Nothobranchius furzeri: one gene and its partners. The protein of the gene in region 2 binds, or shares a complex with, the protein of the main gene of each other region. Links are inferred from orthologs where the notes say so. Each region holds a gene or a part of one and is shown on either strand. Other genes may lie near its edges.

Evidence for each region.
Region 1: the proteins of nuclear cap-binding protein subunit 1 (region 2) and ppargc1b are in contact, whole or in part, in a crystal structure (PDB 6D0Y), measured with the Homo sapiens proteins. The link is inferred for Nothobranchius furzeri from reciprocal best matches to the Homo sapiens genes NCBP1 and PPARGC1B. Residues at the interface, in NP_002477.1 of Homo sapiens: Glu26, Asp29, His30, Ser33, Leu34, Lys37, Val38, Lys41, Ser42, Ala43, Cys44, Asn49, Gly52, Leu53, Val56; in NP_573570.3 of Homo sapiens: Tyr1006, Glu1007, Ala1008, Met1009, Asp1010, Phe1011, Asp1012, Leu1014, Leu1015, Lys1016, Glu1017, Ala1018, Gln1019.
Region 3: the proteins of nuclear cap-binding protein subunit 1 (region 2) and ncbp2 are in contact, whole or in part, in a crystal structure (PDB 5OOB), measured with the Homo sapiens proteins. The link is inferred for Nothobranchius furzeri from reciprocal best matches to the Homo sapiens genes NCBP1 and NCBP2. Residues at the interface, in NP_002477.1 of Homo sapiens: Glu32, Cys36, Leu71, Thr74, Val75, Arg77, Leu78, Leu79, Ser324, His325, Trp326, Lys327, Glu328, Arg329, Lys330, Ile368, Val370, Met371, Thr374, Glu378, Asn415, His419, Ser422, Asn423, Gln425, Lys455, Arg458, Leu459, Ser460, Tyr461; in NP_031388.2 of Homo sapiens: Gly4, Leu5, Leu6, Lys7, Leu9, Arg10, Ser11, Asp12, Ser13, Tyr14, Glu53, Glu54, Gln55, Tyr57, Glu58, Leu59, Lys62, Ser63, Asp65, Lys67, Ile69, Tyr89, Asn96, Arg99, Tyr100, Asn102, Gly103, Thr104, Arg105, Leu106.
Region 4: the proteins of nuclear cap-binding protein subunit 1 (region 2) and phax are in contact, whole or in part, in a cryo-EM structure (PDB 8PNT), measured with the Homo sapiens proteins. The link is inferred for Nothobranchius furzeri from reciprocal best matches to the Homo sapiens genes NCBP1 and PHAX. Residues at the interface, in NP_002477.1 of Homo sapiens: Cys380, Lys381, Pro384, Pro388, Gln389, Leu391, Ala392, Thr395, Phe417, His420, Leu421, Asn423, Phe424, Gln425, Arg427, Trp428, Ser429, Asp432; in NP_115553.2 of Homo sapiens: Ile114, Asn115, Asn116, Ile117, Trp118, Gly119, Val121, Leu122, Glu124, Gln125.
Region 5: the proteins of nuclear cap-binding protein subunit 1 (region 2) and ncbp3 are in contact, whole or in part, in a cryo-EM structure (PDB 8BY6), measured with the Homo sapiens proteins. The link is inferred for Nothobranchius furzeri from reciprocal best matches to the Homo sapiens genes NCBP1 and NCBP3. Residues at the interface, in NP_002477.1 of Homo sapiens: Lys330, Ile377, Glu378, Cys380, Lys381, Pro384, Pro388, Gln389, Ala392, His420, Asn423, Phe424, Gln425, Arg427, Trp428, Ser429, Glu431, Asp432; in NP_001107590.1 of Homo sapiens: Glu572, Asp574, Glu576, Leu577, Gln578, Ala580, Trp581, Gly582, Leu584, Ile585, Lys588, Glu589, Arg592.

What each region holds. Positions count from the first base shown.
Region 1 is NC_091741.1:70,431,981-70,435,491, reverse strand, and holds part of ppargc1b (peroxisome proliferator-activated receptor gamma coactivator 1-beta), read left to right. Parts: intron 1-2,900; coding exon 2,901-3,511. UniProt on the Homo sapiens protein: Plays a role of stimulator of transcription factors and nuclear receptors activities. Activates transcriptional activity of estrogen receptor alpha, nuclear respiratory factor 1 (NRF1) and glucocorticoid receptor in the presence of glucocorticoids.
Region 2 is NC_091741.1:71,543,979-71,547,489, forward strand, and holds part of nuclear cap-binding protein subunit 1, read right to left. Parts: coding exon 3,450-3,511; intron 3,324-3,449; coding exon 3,254-3,323; intron 2,138-3,253; coding exon 1,922-2,137; intron 1,773-1,921; coding exon 1,675-1,772; intron 1,583-1,674; coding exon 1,519-1,582; intron 1,443-1,518; coding exon 1,332-1,442; intron 1,176-1,331; coding exon 1,111-1,175; intron 1,019-1,110; coding exon 956-1,018; intron 876-955; coding exon 801-875; intron 622-800; coding exon 518-621; intron 395-517; coding exon 272-394; intron 1-271. UniProt on the Homo sapiens protein: Component of the cap-binding complex (CBC), which binds cotranscriptionally to the 5'-cap of pre-mRNAs and is involved in various processes such as pre-mRNA splicing, translation regulation, nonsense-mediated mRNA decay, RNA-mediated gene silencing (RNAi) by microRNAs (miRNAs) and mRNA export.
Region 3 is NC_091748.1:71,743,273-71,747,415, forward strand, and holds the start of ncbp2 (nuclear cap-binding protein subunit 2), read left to right. Parts: upstream 1-1,332; 5' UTR 1,333-2,360; coding exon 2,361-2,435; intron 2,436-2,525; coding exon 2,526-2,612; intron 2,613-2,850; coding exon 2,851-2,945; intron 2,946-3,420; coding exon 3,421-3,559; intron 3,560-4,143. UniProt on the Homo sapiens protein: Component of the cap-binding complex (CBC), which binds co-transcriptionally to the 5' cap of pre-mRNAs and is involved in various processes such as pre-mRNA splicing, translation regulation, nonsense-mediated mRNA decay, RNA-mediated gene silencing (RNAi) by microRNAs (miRNAs) and mRNA export.
Region 4 is NC_091741.1:59,213,575-59,217,788, reverse strand, and holds phax (phosphorylated adapter RNA export protein), read left to right. Parts: upstream 1-1,408; 5' UTR 1,409-1,513; intron 1,514-2,300; exon of another isoform or gene 2,301-2,437; intron 2,438-2,577; 5' UTR 2,578-2,589; coding exon 2,590-3,807; 3' UTR 3,808-4,096; downstream 4,097-4,214. Other genes in the region: pmpcb (mitochondrial-processing peptidase subunit beta), read right to left, coding at 187-309, 1,177-1,260. UniProt on the Homo sapiens protein: A phosphoprotein adapter involved in the XPO1-mediated U snRNA export from the nucleus.
Region 5 is NC_091750.1:26,025,804-26,029,314, forward strand, and holds part of ncbp3 (nuclear cap-binding protein subunit 3), read right to left. Parts: intron 988-3,511; coding exon 878-987; intron 1-877. UniProt on the Homo sapiens protein: Associates with NCBP1/CBP80 to form an alternative cap-binding complex (CBC) which plays a key role in mRNA export. NCBP3 serves as adapter protein linking the capped RNAs (m7GpppG-capped RNA) to NCBP1/CBP80.

The DNA of each region.
Region 1 (3,511 bases), about 1.1 Mb from region 2:
TGAATAAAACTAGTTGTGGTTTCAGCTTCTTCAGCTATAAGATACAGCCCCTGAAACATCTGAGATGGTGTTTAAATGAACAGAAAAGATTTTCCAAAAAGGTTCACAATGCAACCAAAAGTGGTGCGTGTTTTGCTGCGCCAGCTTTTATTTAACAAATGACAGATGTTTTATTTTAGAAATACTCGGAGCATTCAGGCTTGTAGAGACCTTCAGCTGCTGCTCATGATAAATGTGGTGTTGAGGAGGAGAAGACATCTACAACAGCTACTGCTGTATGACTTAGCAGTAATTGGATAGCTGCTAGCATTGTACTTCAAGTGGTCATTGATTACAGCATGAGTCATTTATCTTTTACAAGAAAAGGACACTTCACACAAACTTCTGCTCCTGCTCAAGTGAAGAGGGTACAAGAAGCCCACAGGAAGTGGTCGGTCTAAACCAAACCTGAATCTATCATCCACTATTAATCAACTCGCTGTCGATGGCTGTGTGTGCAGTTTGAGAGTGGTGTGGCTTTTTTGCTTTGGCAGATGGCAAAAGTATTGACTGACAGGGCAAGAGGGCAACGGTGAATCACAGGCACTCCCTCTCCTCTCTATCTGTGTGAGTAATATAGATCTGCCATTTTAGTACAGCTGCAGACTGAATCATCCCACGTCGGATGGGAGGGAAAACTTACTGCCTTTTGTTCCTAGATACAGTGTCCAGGGCATCAACATAGAAATATATGGACAATGGGTTTCCATAGACTCCAATGACATGTGTTTGAGGAGAAATGGGAGGTGGCCACAACCGCCATTTTGACTGTGTCACAGGTTCCGTCAAGCCCAGACAATTCCACAAAAGGGAACAGAGGTGGAGCTGAGGGTGGGGCTGTAAGGCTGGGATCAAATGACGACACCCGTCGAACTAGCTACAAGCTTACCTGAAGCTAACCCGAAGCTAACGCAGAGGTGGGAGCTAAGCTAATGGAGGTAGCAACCTAGCTACAACCAGAGTTAACTGTGCACAACACCAGAGCTTCTGAGTCAGAGGTACACCGGGCTGACCGCTGGGTAAAACCGGGTGGAACACAGAGGTCTCGGAGACCTCCACAAGCCGGCAGCCACACAGCAGACAAGCGCCACGGCGATCAGAGATGCGCCGAGCTGCGGTGGGGACCATACCGGTAGTCGGAACCCAGCTCCACCAACATGTTATATTTCAACCCATTTTCTAAAGTGCAGCATTATGTTAAATGTACTGGGTTTTACCCTATTACATTTAAATATCATGGTTAAACAGTACATGTTAAAATCTAAGCAGCTAGTGCAAGAGCGGCAGTGACCTAAAATCATCGACATAAATACATAAATATAATTTTACTTACAGAAATAATGAAGCAGAGACTCCTTGGACGCTCTATTAGTGCAATTAATACCACAGCAAGTCATTTTGTCCAACAATTGCACAAATAATATCCAAAAAAGAACGCACAAACGCTACAACTAAGTTCAGAGACTAGGCAGGGCTGAGGCTCAGACTGAGCCTACTGAGGCCTTTCCACGGAGCTAGCTCTGTGGTCAAGTGGGTCTGATGCTCATTAGTCATACAGAATTTTAGGCTTTTAATACACTTAAACAGAAGAGTGACAAAAAATTCACCCCCTCAGAGTTGTCATGAGTGTAAACTAGATCATTTAAACCAAAACCATGTTTTGGTACCAGGCTGTAAACATGTTTATTTCTACTGTGAAATTGGTATTTTTAACATGGGAGTCAATGAGGATTTGCTCGCTTCTGACACCAGCCCCTAGTGGATGAGGGTGGAACTGCAATTTATTTCACTTCCGCGTTGGCCTCAATTTCTGTCCCGCATTGTGGGGGCTTGGTCCAGGGCAGGAAATTGGAAATACAATCTTGTGGTTGTTAAGTTTGTTTTTCTTGTGTGGTGGTTCACTTTTCTTTTCTATTATCAGACAGTCTAGCAATTTATTTCCAGCACAAAAAGAAGGAAAATGGAAAATTGCAGAATTCTTGCTGATCCTCATGATTAAAGAATGAAGATTTCTAGATAAAGATACCAACATGCACTGATGTTGCTTGACAGAGTTGGTGCTGTCGCTGATGTGTTGTATTTACTTAGAGTCATGCAGCTAAATTATTCCCAGAGGAAAATCGTTGTGATTTTATTGGATATTTTCCGATTCAACCTGCTCTACTAAAAAAATAAACAAAAATGTCTGATTCCTTAAAAATTTGTGAAGGCATTCAGTTTTTACTTCCTGTTTTTTTTTCACACACAAAAAAATACAAAAAGGTTCATATAAAAAAATCCATGTAAAATCTACTTTTTTGAGCTTGTGATAAAATGTGATATCGTCATTTCCTCTTGAAAAAAAAACCCTTTTTGGCTGCATTCATGCATTTTCCTGTTTCAGCTGAAAATTTAGAGTTTTACTTTGAAAGTCCTGTAAAGCACTAATGGAAACTAACCTCGTCATCAGGTCCCACTCCTCTCCTGGACGCTTGTCTCTGGTCTGTCTCCCCTGTCCAGATTAGGATGTGTGGCTTAGGCGACTGCAGTCTTGTAGCAGACTATTTCTGGGTATAAATTCAGTCTGACGAAATTAACTCGCATTTAAGATAAATGACATCTCAATAGTGCCAACTGTATTATTTTATCATTTACTGAAACTGCCTTTGTTCTCACAGGTTTAAAGTAGCATGCTACGGAACCTTTAAACACAAAAATTTGCAGAAATTATAACTTTAATGAACCTCATTACCTGTACAAAACAGCATAACAGGCAGAAAGAAAAGAAGAAAAAGCACAATATCAATTTTAGAATGATTTTGACTCTTAAGCTCCAGCAAATCTTGCCATTGGTTCAAGTCTTTTTTTTTCATCACCCCCAGAGTGAACGCCCTCAGGAGCGGAAGCCTCGAGCCGTGCGTCCTGCAGGGCGTCTGTGCACAGAGCTGCACCGCCACCTCACCACCGCACAAGATGCAGAGAACAACCCAGTTCTCAAGACAGATGAGGACGAAGAGGAAGAAGAGGACGAGGAGAGTGTGTCGGAGGAGGACGAGGAGGAGGAAGATGAGGAGGAAGGGGAGGAGGAGTCTTCCAGTAGTGAAGTTGAAGGTGCAGCAGTTGCAGCTGCTGTGCCTGTGGAGCCAGCTACATCTCAGTTCAGCTCAGAAAAAGAGCTGCGCTCTGTAGTGGAACTGATTACGTACATGCACACTTACTGCCTGCCTGTGCGCAAGCAGCAGGGCTGGGAGCGCAAGGACCGTGAGCTCTCCCGGCCTCGGGCCAGGCCTGAGGCCTCCCGCTTGGCCACTACAAACTCTCACAGCCGAGTGGTCTTGGTGGCTACTCCTGGGACTAATGGGGGCTTGACTGGGACTGCCAACAGCACCCCCCGGAGGATCCCCTTTACTAGGCGGAGGGAGATGAAGGCCAACTCCCTTCTTCGTGAGCTCTTGCAGCAGAACAGCTCCTTCGATGTGAGCAAGCCTTATAG
Region 2 (3,511 bases):
GGGACCCCCAGGTTAGGAACCACTGCTATAGGTTATAAATTGTAAGTCGCTTTGGATAAAAGCGTCTGCCAAATAAATAAACATAAACACTTTCTCCTCTGGTTTAATTCTCCGTTCTGAAACAGGTGCACCGGAGCTTTTTTTCCCCCAGAGTACAACTTACAAGGCATTTATTCCTACTAGAGACCACCGCTAATGTATTAAAAATAGGAGTGAAGAACCTCTTTAAAGGATTTTCTGAAAAACAATGTAAAGTTAAAGTTAAACAAACCGTCGTCGTCTTCCTGATTTGGGTTGGGGACTTCCTTGAGAATGGCGAGGATTTCCTCATTGGACGCTCGGTTCTTGATGGCATTTCCAACGGTGATGGAGACGGGGTAACCTGGTAACGAAGCTGTGGGAAAGCAAAGATTTGATTTATTATTAGGATTCTATAAAGGAAACAACACTAACATCTTAAACTGTTTTCAGAAAGTTTCTTTAAAATGTTTATAACATAAAACATCAGAATTCCTACCAGAACTCTCATCCTCGTACTTATAAGAAAAAAGGGGTTCAGCGGGAATGAGAGCTGAGAAAGTTGCAGGGACGATGTCCACTATCCTCTGGTGGTAGGAAAGTCTGAAAGTGATGCAAAAAATAAAAAATAAAATAACACTGAGCTAAAAGAAACTTGTCCAAGAGTAGAAACACAAGAGTGAATGTCTCACACTGAAATATTCTTGAATAAGAACAAACAAGTATAATCAGACTGCTGACAGCTTATCTAAGCCACCCCAGTAATGCAGCTCTGTTATCACCTCATGCTCTTCTCCAGAACCTCTTTGACAAACTTGGGCTTAGGCATCTCCAGATCCTGGGTCAAGCAGTCGGACCTTCAACCACAAACATATTTAACATTTAATTAACACCTTTTTCCTGATTTCATAAAAGTGCCTGTAAAATAATCACCCACCAGTCATCCCAGCTCCATCGAAACTGGAAGTTGCTCAAATGATGAGAAAACCAGTTGATAAATCTATTCAATAACAAAGGGGAAGTGATGAGTGTGGACTGGAGTGCTGTTGACAGACCTCTAGGGGATATCCTGTTAAATATGCAGTCCCTTACCTGTCTATACAGGTGGTGTTCATGGTGTCCAGTCTCATGTAGAGCATCTCTGTGGCCTGAGCCAACTATCACACTCATGTTAAGGTTAAATCTGCCACAATGATAAAACACACACCTGGTTTTCATTAGAAGATGAGTGAATCCTTTTGTCCCCTTCAATAATCTGCACAAAAACACTCGATACACTTCCCCCCGATACGGGTAACATTATAAAAAGATACGACTTGGGGCAGCGACCCCGGCTGAAGTTTGCAGAGTTCGATCAGCAGTGTGGTGTACATGACGTCTATGTGAGGAGGCAAAGGCAGCTGGAAAAGCTCTCCAAAAATCACCTGAAACAAATCAGTAACTCTTATTTGATCAAACTGTTGTTTTCTTTTGGCTCCAGTGAAAGAACAAGAAGTTTACCTCCACAATGTGATAGTTGAGAGGGATCTTGTTTTTTCCTGGATAACTGAGTAACTGGGCAGCGCTGGAAGGTTACGAATAGAAGGTCAGATAGACGCCTCACATGTAACCTTCATGTTTTATAGAAAGGATGATTTCATAGGGCTCACCACCCACCATGTTTTCCTCTCCTTCCAGTGGGTTTTGATAATACACTGCAGGTTTTCTTCTATGACATACCTCTCCACAGAATGGCTGCCGGGCATGACGGGCCCCTGTAGAGAACAGATATGCAACTATGTGAGTAAGAAGAGGGGTACGGAACAGTATAACTAGTCGGTTACTGAGTAAAGCTGCTTTTTAACCAGTTTCCGACCCAAACAAGTTGAACTAATTATGTTATGAAACAAAGAGACGAACGGACCTCTGGGGCATCAGTGTAGTCAAACATCCTGAAGATGACGCGGGGCATCGGGTACTGGGCGTCAGGCATGTGGCCTGGTGGAGTGAAGGGGGGGAGGTTGTGCTGCAGGGCCTCACAGAGGACACTGTCAAAGGCGATGTACGGACGAAGGATGTGGCGCTCCTGCCAGCGGTCCTTCTTCAGCTTCTGGACCTGAGCCCAAAGGCAGTCCAAGTACTAAAACACACAGAGCAGGTTTCTGAAGAAACAGCAGCAGGCTCCAAGTGTTTTCTTACTCTGCGGAGGGTCAACAGCTGGGTGAAGTTAGGCTAGCATATCATGGGGATGGGATTTTTAGGTTACATAGACGACTCTGCATCAGTTTTAAAACTTTATGCAATGTTGAGGAACGTAACTGTTGGAGGTGGAGAATGATGAGAAATATTGGGATTTTCAACAAACTGTGCTGCTATGTATGACTCAGGTTTTGCCTCTGCTGAGTTCAACATTATCATCAACACTGACAACTGTTGTGCATTTTTGGTGTGACAAAGTGTCTTAAAAACATCTCAATGTTTTCCCACATTTCTCACACTTTCTTCCTCAAGGTCACCAAATTGGGAAAAGTTCTACATAGGTTCCAGATTCCCGAGGGAACTGGAGAAACACTAAAGTGAAACTCTGTAACTCAGAGAAGGACATGGCAAAAATGGTAAATGGCCTGTATTTGATATAGCGCCTTCTAGAGTCCTGGAACCCCCAAGGCGCTTTACAGCACAATCAGTCATTCACCCATTCACACACACATTCACACACTGGTGGGGATGTAGCCACAGCTGCCCTGGGGCGCACTGACAGAGGCGAGGCTGCCGAGCACAGGCGCCACCGGTCCCTCCGACCACCACCAGCAGGCAAGGGGGGTTAAGTGTCTTGCCCAAGGACACAACGACAGCGACAGACTGAGCAAGGCTCGAACCTGCAACCTTCCGATTACGGGGTGAACACTTAACTCCTGTGCCACCGTCGTCCCGAAACATCTAAAAAGAAACTAAAAACGCACGCCAACATTTAGGCAACAACAACCACAGCCCAGTGATATATACTGGTTTAACTGATGCTTGTCTTTCTGAACACAAACACATGGACAGATTAGTTATAACGCATACAAACTCAAGTCAATTAAGAAAAAACAACAAGATCAGGAACGGCAAAACTTCAGGACTCATTTTTCATAAGTAGCCTTGTTTATTCTGACTAATTATTAGATCAGAGCTCTACATGGAGGGAATAGTTGCAAACGGAAGCTTTGTGGTGAGAAACACAACAGATCAGAAATGGACTGGGGAGACTCACCTCTTCTTGTGGGTGGGGTTTCTCTGCAGTCCAAACCTGCAGCATGGGAACATGAGTCTTGACTCTTCTCCTGAAAATATAATGGCATTACAGAGCTAAATGTAGAATGAAATTATTTCATTGGATTAAACCATTCTTTCAATAATGAGAATGTAAAACAGTAAAGAATAGAGAAAAAAAAAGGCAGAAGTCTCACTTGAGGTAGCCTTCGATCTGGCTGAGTAGTCGGTCCATCTCAACGTCCTTCTTCTCATAAAG
Region 3 (4,143 bases), on a different chromosome or scaffold from region 2:
AATGTAAAAGGAAAACAATGGGAGGGATCCAGACAGTAGCCAATGGCACCACATCTTCGTAATTATATAGAAAAGTACACTGACTCACTGACTGTCCTAGCTTCATCCAGCTCTGACCTTCAGCTCTTGCTGGGTAGGTTCACGGCTGAGTGTGAAGCGGCTGGGATGAGGATCAGCACCTCCAAATCTGAGACCATGGTTCTCGACCGGAAAAGGGTGGCTTGCCAACTCCGGGTCGGGGGAGAGGTCCTACCTCAAGTGGAGGAGTTTAAGTATCTCGGGGTCTTGTTCACGAGTGAGGGTAGGAGGGATCGGGAGATCGACAGGCGGATTGGTTCGGCGTCTGCAGTGATGACGCTGAGCCGATCTGTCGTGGTGAAGAGGGAGCTGAGCCAGAAAGCCAGGCTCTCGATTTACCGGTCGATCTACGTCCCAATCCTCACCTATGGTCATGAGCTTTGGGTAATGACCGAAAGAACGAGATCGCGGATACAAGCGGCCGAAATGAGTTTCCTCCGTAGGGTGGCCGGGCTCAGCCTTAGAGATAGGGTGAGGAGCTCGGAGATTCGGGAGGGACTCGGAGTAGAACCGCTGCTCCTCCGGATCGAAAGGAGTCAGTTGAGGTGGTTTGGGCATCTGGTCAGGATGCCTCCTGGACGCCTCCCTGGGGAGGTGTTTCGGGCATGTCCTGCCAGCAGGAGGCCCCCGGGTCGACCCAGGACACGTTGGAGAGGTTACATCTCCAATCTGGTCCGGGAACGCCTTGGGGTCCTGCCGGAGGAGCTGGTGGAGGTGGCCGGGGAGAGGACGGTCTGGAGCTCCCTAGATGGGATGCTGCCCCCGCGACCCGGACCCGGATAAGCGGAGGAAGACGACACTGACTCAATACCCTTGGGTATTTGCTTTCCTAAACATATGTTTATGAAGGAATGATTAGGTTTAGTTAGAAGTTAATCCATTACACCATCTCATTTAGACAAGGCAGTTTTATTTATATTTCAAACAGAAGCAATTAAACGTCCTTTCAGGTCCAAGTAAAACGCCCGAAAACAAAAATTAGCCGACAGAGTAAAACTGTAAGGTTCGTCTTCAGCGTTCAGACATAAATTCTGATTGCTTTACAGCCAGACAGGACGTGGTTTATAAAAAAAAAGAAGCATAAAGATGCAAATGTTTAAATCGAATTTAAGATGTACAAATAAAAATATTTAAAAAAAACTGCAGAAGGTGTTGATGTTGGAAGAAAAAGAATATATATATATATATATATATATAAAATCAGTAATTTGCTAATGAGATTTCTTGCACATATATGGCATTAAAACACTTCTGATGCTGATATAAAAATCCCCATCTCACCCTCCGTGGGTGGTCTCATCCTTCCAACCTTGGGTCCTCTACCAGAGGCTTGGGATCTTGAGGGTTCTGCAGTATATTAGCTGTTCCTAGAACTGCACTTTTCTGGACTGAGAGGTCTGATTGTTTTCCTTGGATCTGCTTTAGCCACTCCTGCAGTTTGGGGGTTATTGCCCTGATGACCATGGGCACCACCGATGTCTTCACTCTCCAGCTTAAGTTCTTCTTTGAGGCCCTGGTACTTTTCTAGTTTCTCGTGCTCCTTTTCCCGGATTTGCATGACTTGGTATCGCCACATCAACCACAACGGCTGATCTCTGTGGTTTGTCCACCACCACAATGTCCGGTTGGTTCACCATCACCATTTTGTCAGTCTGGGTCTGGAAGTCCCACAGGAGCTTGGTTCTCTTGTTCTCTACCACCTTAGGGTCAAAAGGTACGTGCAGTCCAAGTGCACCAAAATACAAGAAATCCTGAAAGTGATGGTCTGGTCCCACAGAGCCTGATCTCAACATCAATCGTGTGTCTAGGATTACAGGAAGAGACAGAAGGATGTGAAGAAGTCCATATCCACCGATGATCTGTGGTTAGTTCTCCAAGATGTTTAGAACCAGCCCAGTTCCTTCAACAAATGTGTGTGTGCACCTAGAACTGATGCTGTTCTAAAGGCAAAAGATGGTCACACCAAATATTGATTTGACTTGATTTAGATTATGTCCATTCACTGCTTTTTTGATTCTTGATAAATGATTAACACTTCCAGTTTTGAAAGCATTCTGCGTTTTTCCCACTAATACACTAAGAAGAAACACACACACAAACAACTACAAAGCTCGGATGAAGGCGAAAACTTAAAAAAAAATTGTAAGCAAACGCAAAATGATCTAATTTAGCGATCCTCCGTGTTTCCTCCCGGATGTATTTAGTGGACGGACAAAATACCCGGAAGTACATCATCCAAACTCGCGTCGTTAGCATTCTGCCTAAGTAGTCATTTATCCAAAATGTCTTCTAAACTAAACGCTTTAACCAGCGATTCTTACACTGAGATTAGTCAATATAGAGATCAACACTTTAAGGTAAGGGAGAAGGTGAATGAATTCGACTTTTGTATGTAAATGTGTTTTTCTCCTGCTCTAAGAGTAGTTTTATGTCATGTTTGTTTTTAGGGTAATCGTTATGAACAGGAGAAGCTGCTAAAGCACAGTAACACTCTGTATGTTGGGAACCTCTCCTTTTACACAACGGAAGAGCAGGTAAGACCTTTAAATAAAGCTAGCTTCGGCTTCCTGAGGACTGCTTTACTTCTTACATTATTCCATGAAAACCTTTCAGAACTTCTAAACGTGGTTATAACCAGCTAAATAATCCGATGTTCAAGATCGATGTAGCTACTACTGAGATCTGATGAATGTTGGCTTATAAAAACTAGACGGTTGTGGCTGGTTTATACTAGATTGAAGGCATATTTCGAATCACTGCTAATATGAACAGGTGCACGAGTTGTTTGCTAAATGTGGAGACGTGAAGCGTATCATCATCGGCCTGGATAAAATCAAGAAGACTGCCTGCGGATTCTGTTTTGTTGAGTATCCTTTTAAACTATTGGTAAATGGCCTGTATCTGTATAGCATCTTCTTAAGGTTCTACAGCCCCCCAAGGTGCTTTACAACACAATTAGTCACCCACCCACACATTCACACGCTGGTGATGATGAGCTACAATGTTGCCACAGCTGCCCTGGGTGCATAGACTGGCACAACCGGTCCTACTGACCACCACCAGCAGACAAGGCAGATTAAAAGTTTCGCCCAAGGACACAACAGCAGCATTCTCTGGCTGGAGCCGGGATCAAACCTACAACCTTCCAATTACTAGACAACCCACTCTACCTCCTGAGGTACTGCTGCTCTATCGTCACCTGATCTAGTAAAGCCAATTGATGCACAAGAAAACAAACCGTTTAAATGTCAACAGTGTTTCTGTCTTGACTGGTCGTGTATTAAAAGGGTAGCATTGATGTGAAAATGAACAGAGTGTGGACCTTAGCTGCGCCTGTACCAGATACTACACACGAGGAGACGCAGAGAACGCCATGCGCTTCGTTAACGGTACCCGGCTGGATGACCGGATCATCAGGACAGACTGGGACGCAGGCTTCAAGGAGGGCAGGCAGTACGGGCGTGGCAAATCTGGAGGACAGGTGAGGTTTACGGTCATTTTGGTTCATAATGTGAACTTGCTTAAAGGCCCAGTGTGTGATATTTTTTACCAGTTTACTATCAAATCCTGTGTTTGCAGTTCACAAACTGCAAACTTATATAGTTATACATTTTATATACATAATCTGTGGTCGAGGCTCCATGGTCATCCACCATCTTAAAATACAGTAGCTGTTTAGGGACATACGAGCTCCACGTTACCGTTTGGACTATGACTGTAACCTGAAAGAACCAGCAGAGGGCAGCAGTGTGCCCTGGAAGCATGAAGTCTGCTAATTCAACTAAGAAATAGAAAAGAATAGCTACACCGTTGCTCTACTTGTTAGTTTGAATTAAAAACAACTAAATCAAAAGACATCAAATTTGTCCATTCCTCGTCATGTCCAACACAAGATCCCCGCCCGCCATTATCTGGAAGCCAGCCTCTGATTAGTGTCTCTGACTCCCAAACTCACCTCAAGTTGTTCATCCATCTTTTCGTAGAACCAGAACTCCCGATCCGGTCCCAACGTGTCTGTACTAAAGTCCTTCTACTCAAGTCTCCTCTCTTCCCGCAGCCTGCCGT
Region 4 (4,214 bases), about 12 Mb from region 2:
AATCCTCCAGCTTACATCTGATGCATGACTAGGGTGAAGCTATGGTGACTGAATCATGGTGGTGGGATAACTATCCAGTACTCTGATCCAGTATTGACAAAAAAAACTGTAAATTTAATGGCTGGATGTTTAAAGTACATGGTTGCTGTTTGACCCACATGCTGTTCATTTAGGATTTGAACTTACTGTGCACGTAGTAAGGCCGGAGTCCTCTGAAGCCACCCGCAGTCCGTTTTCTAAAGTAGTAACTTTAGTTTCTGGGACATTTAGCGCCACCTGGTGGGCAGCCCGAGTAGCCAACAGCCGCCGCTACAGTCACAAAATCAGCAAGTCAGTATGAGTCTTCAGAGTTAGACCAGCTGCTGTTAATCAGTACTAGTTAACTACATAGCATTGTTGTTATACTGACGGAGGGTGTTTCTCAATGTCAAGGCGCCTTGCGAGGCGATGTCTTGCGAGGCGCCTTGCTTACGAGGACACTGTCCTTCCTTGATCAAAGAAATCGGTTAAATGGAAGAACAAACGGAGAACACACGCCTCGGTAGAACATCCAGCTTCTAGTGGGGAAGGTCATTGGAACCGATTGGAACACGTCTTGGCGGCTCCTGATGGCGTATCTCCTAGGCAACCGGGGCGGGGCCAAGACATCAAGACAAGGTTCCTTGACGTTGAGAAACAATACCCGCTATTTCACTCCAACCAAACATAAGGATTTATCACAGTTAGCCTGTAGCGGCTATGTTAAACAGTGAGCCGGCTAAAACCTAGTTTCAAGCGTCCTGTAGACAATATATGATAAATGACCCGCACTTGTGTAGCGCCTCTCACAGTAAGGACTCCAAAGCATTTTACACTACAGTGTATCATTCATCCATTCACACACACACACACACACATTCACACACTGATGGTGATGAGCTACGATGTAGCCACAGCTGCCCTGGGGCGCACTGACAGAGGTGAGGCTGCCGAGCACAGGCGCCACCGGACCCTCCGACCACCACCAGCAGGCAACGTGGGTTAAGTGTCTTGCCCAAGGACACAACAGCAGAATTCTCTGTCCGGAGCCGGGATCGAACCTGCAACCTTCCGATTACTGGACAACCCGCTCAACCTGTTGAACTACTGCTGCCCAATAAACCATGATCGATTAAAATCGATTTTAATCATTCTTACCCCGCTGAGATAATTACTCTTGAGTAAGTTTCTTTGTAAAATAATTCTCCCCGCAGATGTGAGAAGATGAAATGACGCTGCCATATTGTTTATTTGTAAATGTGCGCATGCGTGCGTCACGCAACTTCCGCTACGGACAAGGAAGAGAAGGTGGTGCTTTGGTTCTTTAAAAAATAAAAGCAGTTGCTTTGAGAAATACTAATGTTTCTTAGAACCCGGAACTCAATAATTTATATTTGACAGTGGCACTCACGTGGTATATGTAATATTGGAGATCTGTGTAAAGATGGAAACTTTATGTCTTACGAGGATCTAACCCATACTTACAAATTGCAAGGTAAAGGACATTTTTGGAAATACCTCCAAATGAGACATTGTGTGACTTCTAAATTTAAGGAAGTTCCTGAGAATGATATTTTAGGTTATATTAAAATGCCACGTGACCGCCACACTGCTTCGGTGTTTTATAAACTGTTTAATCATGGTTTAAGTGGGGAGTCTTTAGGCATTAAACTACTTTGGCAGCGGGACTTGGAAACAGAATACACAAATGAAAAATGGCTAAATGTCTTATCAGACAGTGGTAAATATGTGAAAGAGGCTAGAAGTAAATTTATACAGTACAAGGTGTTGCATAGATACTACCATACTCCTACCAGGTTGCATAGAATTTTGTTTTTGTATGTTCTTGTACGTTATAAAAAATCTGAAGATAATAAAAACTTTAATTATAAAGAAATAATTTATATTTGGACGAAATTACATTGACGTATAAATAAATGCGTTTTAATGACCCCCCCCCCCCCCCCACACACACACACACACACACACACACATACATTTGTAAACATGCTACATTTAACATATAATATTTTGGCCCATGTTTAGTATGTTGACAATGCTAGTAAGTGTACACCTGCATAGTGACACTGTATTAAAATCCTTGAAACTTGGGGAGTTTTCTGAGATCATATTACATAGGAAAGCAATATTCTTGATTTTAGGACATATAATAAATAACACAACAGATAAAATGCCAAAAATTACGCATCCACAACCACAATATGTAAAATGCGTAGTTGTAGTTTTATTTTGAAACGTTCTGACAGTTCCCAGGCGGAAGTGGCGCTTTAGCCAGCGCCAATTCACCTCTGGCTCTTTCGTAAGTTGGTGCGTTCGTTAATCGTTGCGTTGAGGAGTCGCCAAGCTGATTTAAACTACATTCGCCTGCGGAATAGAGCTTTCTATCGGGCTCTTTAAGGTGTTCATTGCATTATTTTGTGGCCGGCCTTAGCATTGAGTTTGTTAGCCGCTAACGTGCTGTGGAGTTAGCTATGAGTAACCCGAACTTCAGAGACAAAGGTGTTGATAACAGCCTCTGTTGTTGGCTCTGACTTCCAGGTAGGCTACCGAATGGCCGAACTGATGGACGGTGACTTGGAAGATGGAGAAATCTCTGGGTCCAACTCGGACACCGAAATGGGAACGGCTGCAGCAGAACCTGACCGAACCGAGGCTTCCTCGGCTTTTAGCGGGCAGTCCTTTCAGCAACGAGCCGCCACCCGGCCGCCTGCCGCCCCATACCGAAGCTCCGCTAAGGCGGTGGAGTCCAGCGACAGTGATCCGGATTCTTCAGACGAGGATTCGGCCATGTGGCGCCGAAAGAGACAGAAAGTGTCTGGAGCTCCACAGCAGCCTGCAGGGTCTGCTCTGCCTGGTCCGAGGCCCGTGCCCGCCCCGGGTGCGCTTGGAAGTCGCAAGGTAAACAATATTTGGGGTTCCGTGGTCCAGGAGCAGTGCCAGGATGCCATCACCTCAGAGCTAGGCATCTTTGGTATGGAGGGTGTCAGCATGTCCAGCAGAAGTGTGGAGACTTATAACTTTGTTCTAGCCCGAAAGATGATGGAGAAGGAGAGAGAGATGGAGAAGCAGTCAAAGCAGGGAGAAGAGGAGACCATGCTAGATGCTGAACTGGAGGCCTACATGAAGGGCCGGGGTTCACAAGAGAAGGCAGGGAATGATGTTAAGAGGAAAAGACCCGCCAAAGAAAGACTTGGCGCCATAGCTGAGATGGACATCAAGGGTCGATTTGAAATCACTGAAGACGACCCCGAGGACAAGGTGGTGGACGAGATTACATACAGACTGCAGGAGCCTAAAAAAGATCTGATAGAGCGAGTTGTTCGCGTTATTGGATCACAAAAAGCCATAGAACTGCTGGGTGAGACCGCCACACTGGAGGAAAACGGTGGTGTTTACACTATGGATGGCAGCAGGCGGAGGACTCCCGGTGGAGTATTCCTCAACCTGCTGAAGAACACGCCCAGCGTCTCCAAGTCCCAGATCAGGAAGATATTTTTTGAGGAACATCAGAAAGATTACAAGAGCAAGAAGGCAGCGCAGAAGAGGAGGCGGCATGAGCTGGCTAAGAAGATGAAGCAGGCCATCGGCACTCTGAACCTGCATGAGCATGACGACGTCTCCAGGGAAACCTTTGCTAGTGATACTAACGAGGCCTTGGAATCTCTGGAGGAGGCTGCAGAGGAAGAGGAGGCGGGTCAGGAGGAGGTTGCTGTGGGAACCGAGGAGACGGCGGTGGTCTATAACTCGACAGACCTGGAGGTTTTCTGAACACATCCCTGTGTGTGATCATAGAAAACCAGAACTGAGATGAAAAAGGAGCACTGAAAACTAAAGGAGTCATTGAAGTCACACTGTTTGTTTGTATTCCATTTTTTATTTACCTTTAGAAATAAAAGAAACATTAATGCTAACAAATGAAAAATACTCTGTTTGTGTTCAAAATTATATCCTGGATCTGAATTTAAAAAAATCTTTGCTGATTTCAGTATATAAAGAGGTATTGTGTTAGTGTGTCATTGCAGGACAAATAAAAGAACTGTTGAAGAAAAATGTTCAGTAAAGCAGGAAGTCTTGCTTCTGTGATTCTGTCATGCAGAAAGAAAGGTTTCTAACAGCAACACGCAGGTTTGGTCCCAGACAGATCAGAATAACCCCTCTCCCATGACAGCTTTTGC
Region 5 (3,511 bases), on a different chromosome or scaffold from region 2:
GATCCGGGGCTTTTCAGAAAACATCCCGACCCCGTGGTGCTGCAATACAGCCCTCGGGGAATCTGAAGGCTGCGAAGTAGGAGCGACAGGTAGGTGGTATGCCCGGCTCTGAAAGGCGTTGATCAGAATTTGCAGATACATTTTTTTCTCCATGGAGATTGGCCGCTCATTCACTGAGAATCATATTTAGGAATTAAAATATAAAGATTTGAGCAAATCCAGGAAGAACTGACGGTACCGGTTCCAACCGATGCTCGATGCCCAACCCTACACTGACTGATCAAAGGAACCCCGACATGTTGAATGACTAGCCTGGCCTGCCAGACTCGTCCTCTGTTTAATTCTGCACAGAGAGAGTCTGGTAACTCACAGGCAGAGTGGCACATGGGGGGCGGGACTAGCCAGCTCAAAAATAACCAATCAGGAAAAAGACGGAAATGCAGACTGTACCGCGTGACGCTGTAGTTTTTTAGCTGTGGTCAAAAATAGCGTCTGACAACGGAGAAGACATCTTTCTTTAGAAGAAAGGCTTTTAGCACTTCTACTTGTTGTGGTTTTAAAGACATGTCCAAGTCACTTGGAACAGAGGAAAGAGCCGCAGCGAACTCCACTTCAGTCGCCATGTTAATTACAAACTTGGCGTTGTGGTGTGTGACGTACACTACTCAGCGCTGATTGGCTCGGTTAGAATTCTCAGGGGGCGGGGTCATTTGAATAGGAGAGTTCCCAGATCCTTTCTCTGTGCAGAATTAACCAGAGGAGGAGTCTGGCAGGCCAGGCTAGGGAATGACCTCTACGCGTGAATGCCTTAATCAGCCGATTTAGACTCCATGATAAAAACCACGTTTCAATTTCATCAGCTCTATTGTGTTGTTACCTGAGTGTCGGTGTGTGTATGGAGGTGTGTGTCCCATGCTGTCTCCAATCAGAGGTTTCTTGCTCTTGATGACGTCTCTTTGTATGCGGCGGTTGTGATACCTCCTCTTCCTGGAAACACACACACACACACACACACACACACACACACACACACACACACACACACACACACACACACACACACACACACACACACACACACACACACACACACACACACACACACACAACTCATCATCTACACAGGATTACAGACACCAGACTCATCAAGGGCGGTGGGTCCCGGGTCAGTCCGGAAGAGTTAGAAATCCTGACTACAAGATTCAGCTGTGCTGGTCGGTCTAGCCACGCTCCATTGTAGACTCAGCAAGTCTACCGTTGGCCAATCAGCGCACTCTACGTTTGCTTGGTGGGCTTAGCACCAGAGTAGTGAGGGAGAAAAACTACAAAGATGGCATCAGCTCAGAACAAATGGCTTTGGCATTAACTTTGGACTATTTACTACTCGTCTTTGCAGCAAAATCGGCCGGTGGGCAACTTTAATATATATTTGATCTTGCGGGCCAAATAAAAATAGACTGCGACCCAAATTTGGTCCTGAGGGCCTTAGTTTGGCACCTGTGGTCTAAAGAAACAAATATGATTTTGTAGTTCAAACAGAAATGCTAAATCGTCGTCGTCGTCTTCCTCCGCTTATCCGGGTCCGGGTCGCGGGGGCAGCATCCCAACTAGGGAGCTCCAGACTGTCCTCTCCCAGGCCACCTCCACCAGCTCCTCCGGCAGGACCCCAAGGCATTCCCGGACCATATTGGAGATGTAACCTCTCCAATGTGTCCTGGGTCGATCCGGGGGCCTCCCCAGGGAGGCATCCTGACCAGATGCCCAAACCACCTCAACTGACTCCTTTCGATCCGGAGGAGCAGCGGTTCTACTCCGAGTCCCTCCCGAATGTCAGAGCTCCTCACCCTATCTCTAAGGCTGAGCCCGGCCACCCTACGGAGGAAACTCATTTCGGCCGCTTGTATCCGCGATCTCATTCTTTCGGCCATTACCCAAAGCTCATGACCATAGGTGAGGATTGGGACGTAGATCGACCGGTAAATCGAGAGCCACGACAGATCGGCTCAGCGTCCGCATCACTGCAGACCCTGAACCAATCCACCTGTCGATCTCCCGATCCCTCCTACCCTCACTCGTGAACAAGACCCCAAGATACTTAAACTCCTCCACTTGAGGTAGGACCTCTCTCCCGACCCGGAGTTGGCAAGCCATCATTTTCCGGTCGAGAGCCATGGTCTCAGATTTGGAGGTGCTGATCCTCATCCCAGCCGCTTCACACTCGGCCACAAACCTACCCAACAAGAGCTGAAGGTCAGAGCTGGATGAAGCTAGGAGGACCACATCATCCGCAAAAAGCAGAGACGAGATTCTCCTGCCACCAAACTCGACACACTCCACACCACGGCTGCGCCTAGAAATTCTGTCCATAAAGGTAATGAACAGAACCGGTGACAAAGGGCAGCCCTGGTGGAGTCCAACCCTCACCGGGAACAGGTCCGACTTACTACCGGCTATGTGGACCAAACTCACGCTCCTCTGGTAAAGGGACTGAATGGCCCTTAACAGAAAGCCACCCACCACATACACCTGGAGCGTCCCCCACAGGGTGCCCCTGGGGACACGGTCACAAGCCTTCTCCAAATCCACAAAACACATGTGGATTGGTTGGGCAAACTCCCATGCCCCCTCCATCACCCTTGCAATGGTATAGAGCTGGCCCACAGTTCCACGGCCAGGACGAAAACCACATTGCTCCTCTTCAATCTGAGATTCAACTATCGATCGGACCCTCCTCTCCAGTACCTTGGAGTAGACCTTTCCAGGGAGGCTGAGGAGTGTGATCCCCCTATAGTTGACTACAAAGTCTATCATCGACCTGCGACCTAGGCTGCCCTGGTACCAAGTGTACTGATGGGTATCCTTATGTTCGAACATGGTGTTCGTTATGGCCAAACTGCAGCTTGCACAGAAGTCCAATAATGAAACACCACTCGAGTTCAGATCAGGTGGGTGTTCCTCCCAATCACACCCCTCCAGGTCAAGCTGTCATTGCCCACGTGAGCATTGAAGTCCCCCAGCAGGACAATGGAGTCCCCTGATGGAGCACTATCTAGCACTCGTCCCAGGGACTCCAAAAAGGGTGGGTACTCTGAACTGATATTTGGTCCATAAGCACAAACAACAGTCAGGACCCATTCCCCAACCCGAAGACGCAGGGAAGCTACCCTCTCGTCCCCTGGGGTAAACCCCAACACACAGGCAGAGAGTCTTGGGGCTAACAAAAACGCCAACCCCAGCCCTCCCCCTCTCACCCAGAGCCACTTCAGCAAAGGAGAGTGTCCACCCCCTCTCAAGGACTTGGGTTCCAGAGCCAATGCTATGTGTCGAGATGAGTCCGACTATATCTAGCCGGTATCGCTCAACCTCTGCCACAAGCTCCTGCTCCTTCCCCGCCAGCGAGGTACGTTCCATGTCCCAAAAACCAGTTTCCTTGTCCGGGGATCGGACCGCCAAGGCTCCCGTCTTGGTCTGCCACCCGATCCACACTGCACCGGACCCTTCATGTTCCTCC